2 separate regions of the Mus musculus genome follow, and region 1 is reported to be linked to region 2. The links are microRNA targets in miRTarBase. Many come from high-throughput screens and were not tested one by one. Region 2 holds a microRNA gene; the other region holds the end of a gene's coding sequence.

Evidence for each region. The annotated mature microRNA mmu-miR-5134-5p reads UUGGCAGAAAGGGCAGCUGUG and lies in region 2 at 2,100-2,120, shown strand. An mRNA with a match to its seed (bases 2 to 7 or 8) in the 3' UTR can be bound and repressed. Matches are read on the target gene's strand: a 7mer-m8 pairs with bases 2 to 8, a 7mer-A1 pairs with bases 2 to 7 and ends in A, and an 8mer does both.
Region 1: the mRNA of Tmx4 is a reported target of mmu-miR-5134-5p. Seed matches in the 3' UTR shown: 7mer-A1 at 3,981-3,987, 7mer-A1 at 3,296-3,302, 7mer-m8 at 3,001-3,007, 7mer-m8 at 2,606-2,612 and 7mer-m8 at 1,600-1,606.

The regions. Positions count from the first base shown.
Region 1 is chr2:134,593,851-134,598,922 of GRCm38, forward strand. It overlaps Tmx4 (thioredoxin-related transmembrane protein 4), which reads right to left. Exons shown (of 8, transcript NM_029148.1): 8 at 651-5,015. The coding sequence ends at 4,675. Among named protein-coding and RNA genes, the nearest start is that of Hao1, 42 kb to the left of the region's middle.
Region 2 is chr17:24,231,623-24,236,694 of GRCm38, reverse strand. It overlaps Mir5134 (microRNA 5134), which reads left to right and starts at 2,091; the gene lies at 2,091-2,168. It overlaps Ccnf (cyclin F), which reads left to right. Exons shown (of 17, transcript NM_007634.4): 10 at 2,161-2,325; 11 at 4,787-4,910.

The DNA.
Region 1 (5,072 bases), not on the chromosome of region 2:
ATATGGTCTCTACCATTCAATTCCAGGAAAGGGCCCCACCAGTGACACTAAAACACTCTACATTCTAATGGCAAAAGATTTTCCAAAGGGCAACTAATGTTAAATTAGCAGGATTAAAGAGAATCCCACTTACTATACTTAGAGATTATACTAACTTACCTGAGAGGTAGATTAGTGAAGAATTTTCACCAAGAGTCATTCACACAGACAGAATTCTTACCTCTACTTTGGTAAAGAAACTGGGTAAAATTGAACTTAATAGCATTTTTTCTTTTACCAAACAGCTTACTACTATCTTTCAAAAGGAATAAATCAAATCTCCATTACATCAGTGTGAAGTGTGTTCAAAGGAGCCACCTTGCCTTTTTGGCTCTTTTATTGCTACAGAGGTGGGAACAGGTAAGTTGAGATAGTCTTCTCTAAGTCGTAGGAGACTGTGGAAGGCCAGCAATCTTGGAGAAGTAGCAAAGTCACTAAGTAAATGCACGAGCCTGACCAGGGCAACTGCAGTGAGCTCATACAGATAGGACAATGGGCTGTGGTGTTCAGAAACCCTTGCATTAACCTTGGGCACACTGCATGGATTTTACCAAGTCCAAGTACAAAAAGTGGAGAATGAACACTCAGAGAATAAACACAGAAGAAAATTCTTTTTTTAACAAAGTAATATTTTCAACTGCTTTCACAAATGCTTTTATGTGAAAATATTCATATGAAAAAGCAATACACCACTCTGTTTCACTTGGTCATCACTATCTTTAGGTTTTGACACAAATGGAACCTGACAATCAAATGGCAGTACATAGGCTCAGGGTTATGTACAATTCTGTGATCAGAGAATTTGTAATGCAGGCAATGTAGTACTTGAAATGATGAACTGATTTCTCATTTCAATTGCTACACATCTATTTGAGAGCACAGAATACATAGGTAATGGAAAATAAATACACTGGGCTAAACAATCAAAACTATTACAAAAAAACACACCATTTTATAATATACTGACTCACAAATGAACAGTGTCATTAGTATAAAAATTGCATTTCTACAAAGCTTTCCAAAGACAAATAAAATTAAACCACATTAGAAATGAGTCAAAGCCACAGGTGAACATCACAGTCTACACGAAACTTTAGAGAATAAGCCTCTGAGGTCAACATGCTAGGCTGAAGCTGTCCAAGGTTTCTCAGTTGAGTCTCCTGCTTTGGGTAGCTGCTCAAAGAACTGACCTAGCAGGTTTCATGAGACTCCACCTTGGCTTCTGTCAGAAGCTACAATCTCACAAGGATCAAGTCAATGAGGTAAAGAGACACAACACTGAGAGCGTTCTTGTTGGCACAAAGATTTACACAAATACTTTCCAAACAGTTGAATGATTTGACAGGCTAGTCAATCACAAATGTACAATACTGGCAGGAATAACAGCAGGACACTAAGAGGAAGAACACAGAAAACCTGTACACACCAGCAAAAGCTCCATTCTCTCTCTCTTTCCCTCACTTCATGCTTAGGATTTTAATGCTGAAATATCTTTCACCCTTTACAATTCTTTAAAACTTCCCTTTGACCTCCATTGTTTCCAAACTCGCAAAAGCCACATGGCAGATATTCCCTTAACTAGCATTTTAATCTCCTCCCCAAAAGATGTTACACAGTGCACTTATTCAAGCTTACATATACTCAAACCACATGGCAATATCTTAATTATCAGCCAGGAGTTGGCCCTAAAAGGTCAAAGTGTAGCTTTTCAGCTGTCCAAAGCTGATCTGTGTCAAGCTTGTTTGCCTTCCATTGCACTAGTTATTATAAATAACAGGTACAGATCCTATGTACAGGATGAGACTGCAGTGACTGCCACACAGCACAATGGCCTATGTAGTGAATGAGACATCTCTTCCATGTTCCATGATTAGCCTTCAAAACCAAACAATAACAACAACAGAAAAGTGAACTGCCTGTGCATCGCTCCCATGGGATTCTAAGCAAGTCAGTGTGGTTCAGCATGGTTAAGGAGGTGAAGGGTTAAGAAAAAAATAAAAAGAGGTAATGGAATTTTCAGATATTCCAATGAAGAACAAGGCACCTTTCTCTATCCATCTGTGCATAAAGCACTATACACCCTCATTCCACAATTGCTATCTCATTCACCAGATTTTAACATCCAGAAAATAGCAATCTACAATTAAATAGCAGGTATGGCAATGGAAGGGAAGCATGGTTTTTGTTTTAGAAAATCACATTTTCATGCACTTCACTTCTGGATTAAATTTATTATGTACACAAAAATGTATTAAATGTTTATCTAATCTTAAGTTGTTTATTCCTTTAATTTTATATGAACAAAGTATTGAAAATAAACCTTAAGGCTTCATATGGAAAGAAATTAAGGTCCTGGACTATTTACTAGAAACCCAATTTTTGCCAGGATGTTAAAAACAGAAAAGCCAGGAAAAAAAATGATTCCTACAAATAAATATAATTTTAGTGGACTAGACCCCCTTCTCCATGACTTTTTCTTCCAGCTTCCAATATCTTTTAAGTATTAAGAAAGGAAATATAATGCGGGTGGTGGTGGTGGTGCACGGCTTTAATCCCAGCCCCTGGGTGGCAGAGGCAGGCAGATTTCTGAGTTCGAGGCCAACCTGGTCTACAGAGTGAGTTCCAGGACAGCCAGGGCTACACAGAGAAACCCTATCTCAGGAAAAAAAAAAAAAAAAGAAAGGAAATATATTATCTTATTATATTATTAGGTAGTATTTGTGGTCCAAATGGAACCTGGTTTTAAAACATTTATCAAAGCCAAGGCAGACTGTAATCCTTCAAGCTTTCCCTCTTGTCAAATATCCCATTAAAACCCAGTATGTCGATTTGGAGGAGGGTACTTCACAGAACAGAGATGCAAGTCGTCCCTTTCCCACCACTCTGAACTTGGATTTACTATTGCTTAAACACTCCATGCATCAAGGAAGGATTACAAGGGAAGGAAGGAAGGAAATATACTGGCAGAAGAGAAGGTGCAGCTCAGCTCTATTAGGAAGATGAAAAGTACCACAGAACCATGACACTTTTGAGTAAGGATGTATCAGAAGGGCAGAAACATGGAAGGGCAGTAAGGTCTCCAGTTCTGTGATGGCCTCAGCCTTGAACTGACAGTTAACTAAGTTAGAAAGATGAAACAAAAACATTCATAAAGAATGGATTGTCACAATAAAATCTTTCTTTGTGCAAGGTTTGTAGCAGCCTTGTGCAGTACAGGAAGGCAGATTCTGAACCTCCACTAACAATGACCCTCCTGTTGGCAGCTAATGCAAAGAAAACGTTATCTAAGCAGCCAGAGAAATACACTACATACCCCTTTTTAAAATGATGAAACATTTTGAGTTTCACAAACCTGTACTCATTATTCTGACTCAACCCAAGGGGGAATAAGATTGAATTTAGTCATCCTTCATATAGCTAGAATCTAATTTTATGGATTTATTCTCAGACTTGAGAGGGTAAGAGAGGAGATAGAGATTTTTTTTTATTTAATAAGGAATCTGGGTTCCTTGATACTGATATTGGATTGAGCAGGGAGAGATTTATAATCACACAATTCTCCAGAGGATCAAGGGAGATAGAAACAAATAAAATCTTTTACCTACTGAAATTGACTTTCATCAATTTGTTTTTTCACCAAAAGCACATCACTAAAAGCAAAGCCGACATGCCTTTTCAGTTGTTATTAAAGTGGTTCCAGAGAGGTTTCTTGAGATGGAAACTAACCACCACAGACCTGAAGTCAGCTTTATAAAAATACCTTACAGTGACAAGGCTTAGAGCACTCTGGGTTCAGAAAAACAAAGGATGTGGCTGGAGAAACTCTTGAAGAAGTTATCCTGTAACTATAGGACCCAAAAAAGATGTTGCTTGTACCTGTCCTATGAAACTGCCACTGCCTTTTGAATTTTCAGAGAGTACAGCATATGTCTTTGAGACACTTGGCAGTCTTAGCCTCCTCAACTGTGGTTCCCTCAAGTTTTACATCCAGTAAGGGTAATCCATGCAGATCACTGCTGCCGGCTCTTCTCACTACAGAGCAGCTGTGAACCATGGGAGTCTGCAAGTGCAAGGTGGAAAAGTCATAGAGATGAAAGGTAAGAAACAAAAGACGAGAGACCAAAAGAGCTCAGATGACTCCCTAGCTCCATGCTGAAGTTCTATCTATACCCCGGTCTCCACAATTTCTAGCCTCAAGAGAGTGCTGGGGAGCTGTGGTACCTGATGTTTCTGACCTGACTAAAACACATGCTTAACAACGACGGCAAAGACTTCCTGCACTTTAAGGATGCTCTGGTTTTGCTGTCACTTTATCAAGCAGCAGCCTCACTTCTAAAGGTGCTAATGAGAACTGCAGAGAAGTCCTCTGATTTACTCTTTGGCTCCCAAGCACATCAACTTGTTCTCTTCAAGACCCCACAAAGGTACTAACACTATGATGGCTAAGTGCTACACCTCTCTTACGACACTGAGGCTTACTACCATGTAACCACGGGGCCAGAGATCATCTTCTAAAAGTGAACACTGCTCATTCAGAAAAACAAAACAAACAACTAAGGATTTGGCTTAAACTGCAGACCAGAGGGAAACAGACTTCTTTTTTGGCCTGTATTTTTAGAAATGTCATAATGTAACCTAAGATCCCTTGTTGGCATTCTGACTCTTGCGCTGCCTCAGGGCGTCTTCCACCACGTCCTGAGTGTCAGCTGGGTGAGCTCCGTCCTCCTTTGGGGACACACTACCCTCCTTCACAACTGCTCGCTCGTTGGTGTCACTTCTCTCCTCAGCCATGATGCCTGCCAAGTTGTCCTCTTCCTCATCTTCTTCTCCTTCATCCTCATCTCCAATGTCCTCTTTCTCTTCCTCATCATCCACAAGACTGTCTTTGTTTTCTTCTTCATTTGAGTCATCCTTTTCTTCCTCTGCATCCTGTAGCTGCTCAGCTCCTTGAGCCTCTCCAGTACTCTGCTCCTGCTCTATGGAAGGAAAAGAAAAAACAAAAAAACAAAAAACCTCTGGATAATAAATGGCAA
Region 2 (5,072 bases):
CAGTTGGTCACCACACACAGCAGCTGGAATTCACAGTTGGTCACCACACACAGCTGGCACTTTCATGGGTTCTGGATCCAAATGCCAGTGCTTGTACTTGTTCAGCAAATACTTAACCATCTTCCCAGTCCTGTTGTAGCTTAGACTAGCCCTGAATTTCTAGTTATCCTACTTTAGCCTCCTGCATTGTTCTGAGAGTACAGGTGTAAGCCACCAAAGTCTTTAAAGCGGAAAAGCATGCTAAATTGTTCAAATCATCATTATGAAATGATGAGACTTATCACTCCGATTTCTGAAGCTGAAATACAACTTTTGGTTTTTGGTTTTTGTTTTGTTTTTTGGATGGAAGAGGATCTAGATTTTTGAGCCCAGCACCTTATTCATGATGAATTGCCTCTAACCCACAACCCCTATAAATATAACCTTTTCTTTACAGCTCTCTTTATAATCAGTATATTTTCTGCCACTCAGTGACTAGAGGTCAGACCTAGGGAGCTGGTGAACCCCTCCTCACCCCTATCCCAGCCATCCCATCCCTTGGGTTAGCTACTGTGATACCCAGCACAACTGTCTATTCCAGGCTTCAAACGTTAGTGATAACACAATAAATTGCAGAGTGTGTTTGAGGGTACCTAGAATTAGGGACATGTGAATGGTGTTTTAAGCTTTCATCTGAAATTTCAAGTAAAATTTTGGTTTATGATGGGAAACCTCTGGCCCCTTGCAAGCACTGCTTGGAACATGAACTATGTTTAGTAAATGCTTTTTTTTTTTTTTTTTTTTTTTAAATCATTGTCCTGGGGCCATGGAGGTGGCCTCAGTGAGTAATTTGCTCGATGCACAAGAATGGTGACTTGAGTTTGGTACCCAGTACTGGAGGTCTGAGGGAGTCGCATGTGCCTATAATCCTGATACTGAGGAAGTGGAGATGAGTGGGTTCCAGAGGTTCTGTGCGCAGCCATCCTAGTACTATTGGGAAGCCCCAGGTTGATGCATGCCTTTAATCCAACTCTTGATAGCCCAATAATCTGATTTCTAAAAACAGATCACTGGGGCCAGTAAGATGGCTCAGCAGGTGGAGGTGATTGCTGCCAACCCTGAAACCCTGAGTTCAGTTCCCAGGACCTATGTCGTGGAAGAAGAGAACCAACACCCAAAGGTTGTCCTCTGTCTCCCACATCCCTGTCATACATGCAACCGCACATACTTACCACCCATACCCACAAAATAAGTGTAATGATGACTTTTAAAAAGAAGTCGGATTATTAAGCTTGTTAAGTATGTCTGCCTAGAGGAACTTCCTAGTCTGTTCTGCTTTAAACCTCAGCCCCTGACCCTTCTTGGGGGGTGGGGGTGGGGAGTAGACCTTTCCTGTCCTGTTCCTCGCCACCTCAGCCCGACTCCCTATCCCTCCTTCGACTTATGACGATGAGTCTGAGCTGAGGCAAAGCCTGCCCCTTCTGTCTCCCCAAGAGTCCACATCATTGCGCCTTTTCTCTCTTGCTTCCTGTTGATGTAACCCCTCAGCTTTAGACAAGGATCTCTTGCCCGAGAAGCATTGGGCTTACTAGGGTGTCCTTACGAGATTCTCCTGGGGTTTTTTATGGCCTCGTTCCCCAGGTTTTTAACTCCCTGGTAGAGAGAGACTTTTGCCGGCCTTCTTGTGTCTGGGCATCCATCTGGGGTGCTGGATGAGGGAACACCAGCGCAGGCACTGAGTGGCTCTTACTTTAAGTGGCATTTCTGGCTCTTTGATCCTCTGCAGAACATTGTCCCGAGGGCCCAGACAGTGCTTGATGATGCAGAGCAGCCGAAACCCTCTGTCTGGTTCTGAGAGCTGTGATCTGCTCCCAGCCCTGTTGTGTTGCCTGTTTGGTACCCACTGCCTATGAGCAGGGATTGAGATCACCCAGTGCTTTGGTGGCTGCGGGCTGACTCGGATTTGTGAACACTGGGGATGTGCAGGCTTCGGGGCCTGGGCACAGGCTGCAGAGATTGTGAACCCACCAGCCAGCCTCCTGGGAGTTGCTGTGGGGGACTCGGAGTTGGTAAACCAGTGGTTTCAAAATGATGAGGCCACTTGCTCAAGCTGAACAGACTTGGCAGAAAGGGCAGCTGTGATGCTTGTCCTAGTTTTCACGGGTGGCCCTCTTTCTGCAGGTACATTCTAATCGACTGGTTGGTGGAAGTTGCCACAATGAAGGACTTTACAAGCCTGTGTCTTCACCTGACTGTGGAGTGTGTAGACCGGTACCTGCGAAGGAGGCTGGTCCCCAGATACAAGCTGCAGCTCCTGGGTATTGCCTGCATGGTCATCTGTACCCGGTGAGGAGCCTTGACCAACGGGCAGGGCTGAGGTGCTCATGTGCTGGTCCCCCCAGATGCAGAGGCCACCGTCCTCTGAGTCCTAGCTGCTGATTTTTAAGGGAAATAACTCTTAAGTGCCTTACCTGGCTCAACTGTGTTAATAATTTCAATCCCAGTATCCTTTGCGAGGAAGGGATGGCAGAGTTGACCCTTTGTATGTCGATTATACCTCTTTGGGGGGTCTGTATCCCCCACACAGTCTTGGGACCCAGAGCCTGGACTTGGGAAGGCCTAAGCTAGACCACACTTTCCCATGATCCAAAGGATGCCAGTTGCTAAGAAGAGTTGGTTGTAGCTGTTGGCTTGTGCCTTCCTCCTCAGTCATCAGAGATAAACTGTCACTGAGATGGAATCCTCCAGTCTACCACCAAAGCCCCCAACCATCAGAGCCTGCCACAGGATGTCACATGTCACACAGCAGCCTGTTCCCTGGCAGCTCTAGCTTTTCAAATAGGTTCAGTTTACATTTTTTTTTTCTCAAGCTGTGCTTAGATTTGCCTCTGGAAGCGATGTGGAAGGCGCTTTTCAAAATGTAGTTTGCATTTTCTTACTCTTCTAAACTTGATGGCCCCAGCTTGGTCTGCTGTTTCCTAGGACACACATTTCACATCCCTGCTAACTCCTTCCTAGGCTCGCTTGTGTACTAGGGTTCCTATCTCTGTGAAAAAGCCCCATGATCAAAAGCAGCTTGGTGAGGAAAGTCAGGGCAGGAGCTTGAGCAGGGAGGGAGCCTGGAGGTAAGAACTCAGATCAGAGTCCATGGAGGGGTGCCACATAGTGGCTTGCTCGTGTCTTGCTGGGCCTTCTTTCTTATAGTGCCCAGAGCCATCAGCCCAGGGACCGCACCACCCACAGTGAGCTGAGCCCTCCCATAGCAATCTAGTAAGATTTCTTCCCATGTGACTCTTGGATCAACCTGACTCATATAGGAACCTGTGGGCAGAACATCCGGCCCACTGGGATGAAGGTCATGAAGGAGACCCGCTCACATTTGCTCCCCTCTGAGCTCCATGAGTGGTTCTTTTTCCTGTCACCGCCAAAGCTCCCAAGCCCACCTTCCTTACCAGGTTAGCCATGTGGGCATATATATCCAGCCACAGTAGACACTATAGCACCTTCCAGTATCCATGTCCCAGCTAGAGGAAGCATGGTCATGTGACCACAGGAGGAAGACTGTGGATTTCAGGGGGGAACATCTGACCTTACCGCATCCCGGGTCTTCTTCAGATAGGCTCTGTGACCCGAATCTCACATCCCAGGTCTTCTCAGCAGTCAGCAAGCTGGTGAGGCTGCTGCCTCCGCTGACCCTTCTGCCAAGGCTGAGCAGCAGTCCACATTCGCTGGGGAGGGTGCTTGTGGGACCACTGGAACAGAGTGTTTCTGATTGTTAGTACTGTGGACAGCAGAGAACAGGCTGCCCCTGCCTCAGAAACAGTCAGGATTCCTGTGGCCAAACGCTGGGAGGGCTGTGTGTAGCCCACCTACACCGGGAGGGCTGTGTGTAGCCCTCCTACACCGGGAGGGCTGTGTGTAGCCCTCCTACACCGGGAGGGCTGTGTGTAGCCCTCCTACACCGGGAGGGCTGTGTGTAGCCCTCCTACACCGGGAGGGCTGTGTGTAGCCCTCCTACACCGGGAGGGCTGTGTGTAGCCCTCCACCGTGCTCCAGCAGCTCACCTATCTTTATGTTTGCATTCTTTGTACTCAGATGCAGTCAAGGGGATAGGACAGGAGCTGAAGCGGTTGTTTAGAAGCTTGGCGAGTCTGCACCTGGCTTTGAACCACAGCACAGCCAAACAAACCTTAAAAAAAAAAAGCCCTCATCTATAAAGTCATAAAGAGCTAAATTAGTGTCGCTCATGGGTCGGGTCTTTTTTGTTTTTTGGATGAAAATCAGGACATGACAGCTCCTCGGTGGTTATAAAGGAGAGAACAGCTAGAGTAGACTGTGCCATGAGAGAAGAAGGAAAAGGAGACGCAGAGAGGAAGAGGGGAGCTGGACGGAGGGGTGCCGGGCCAAGAGAACAGATACCAACATGGCTGGGTTATGTAGGGGTCAGAGCTGCTGGAAGGGAAGGCCAGCCCCTGGACTGTAAAAGGTTCAGGGTAGGGTTGGGGCAGGAGTGCTGGGAGGAGCTATAGGTATTCAGTGAGACTTGTCCCAGGCTTCTTCGGGACCCGACACTTGTACATTCTTGTCTGTGCTCTGTAGCCATGCCTCTCCTGCTGGGTCTGAGGATCCTGTTCTGACCCCCTCTTTGTAGCCCCTGGATGCTCTTTGATAGTCAGAAGCAAGTGGATTCGCTCCATAGCTTCCTTTTGCCACCTGAGTCTGGAGCCATCCCATCATGCTTTTGCCTTGAGGCTTTCTGAGCTATGGCCCCTCAGCTCAGGCCTGAGAGCCCATCTCTACGTTCCAGGTTCATCAGCAAAGAGATTCTGACGATTAGAGAGGCTGTGTGGCTCACAGACAACACGTATAAATACGAGGACTTGGTGCGCGTGATGGGGGAGATCATTTCCGCCCTGGAAGGGAAGATTCGGGTAAGTAGGGCTTGACTTTCTCCTTTGAGCAAAAGTTTCTTCTGTTTGAGGTCACGGGGGGGGGGGGGGGGGCGGGCGGGGGGCGGGGTGGCTGTTGCGGGAAGCTGAGGCCATTGAGCGCTACTGCTGTGGAGAAAGCACCAGGAAGCCATGGCTGCGGTG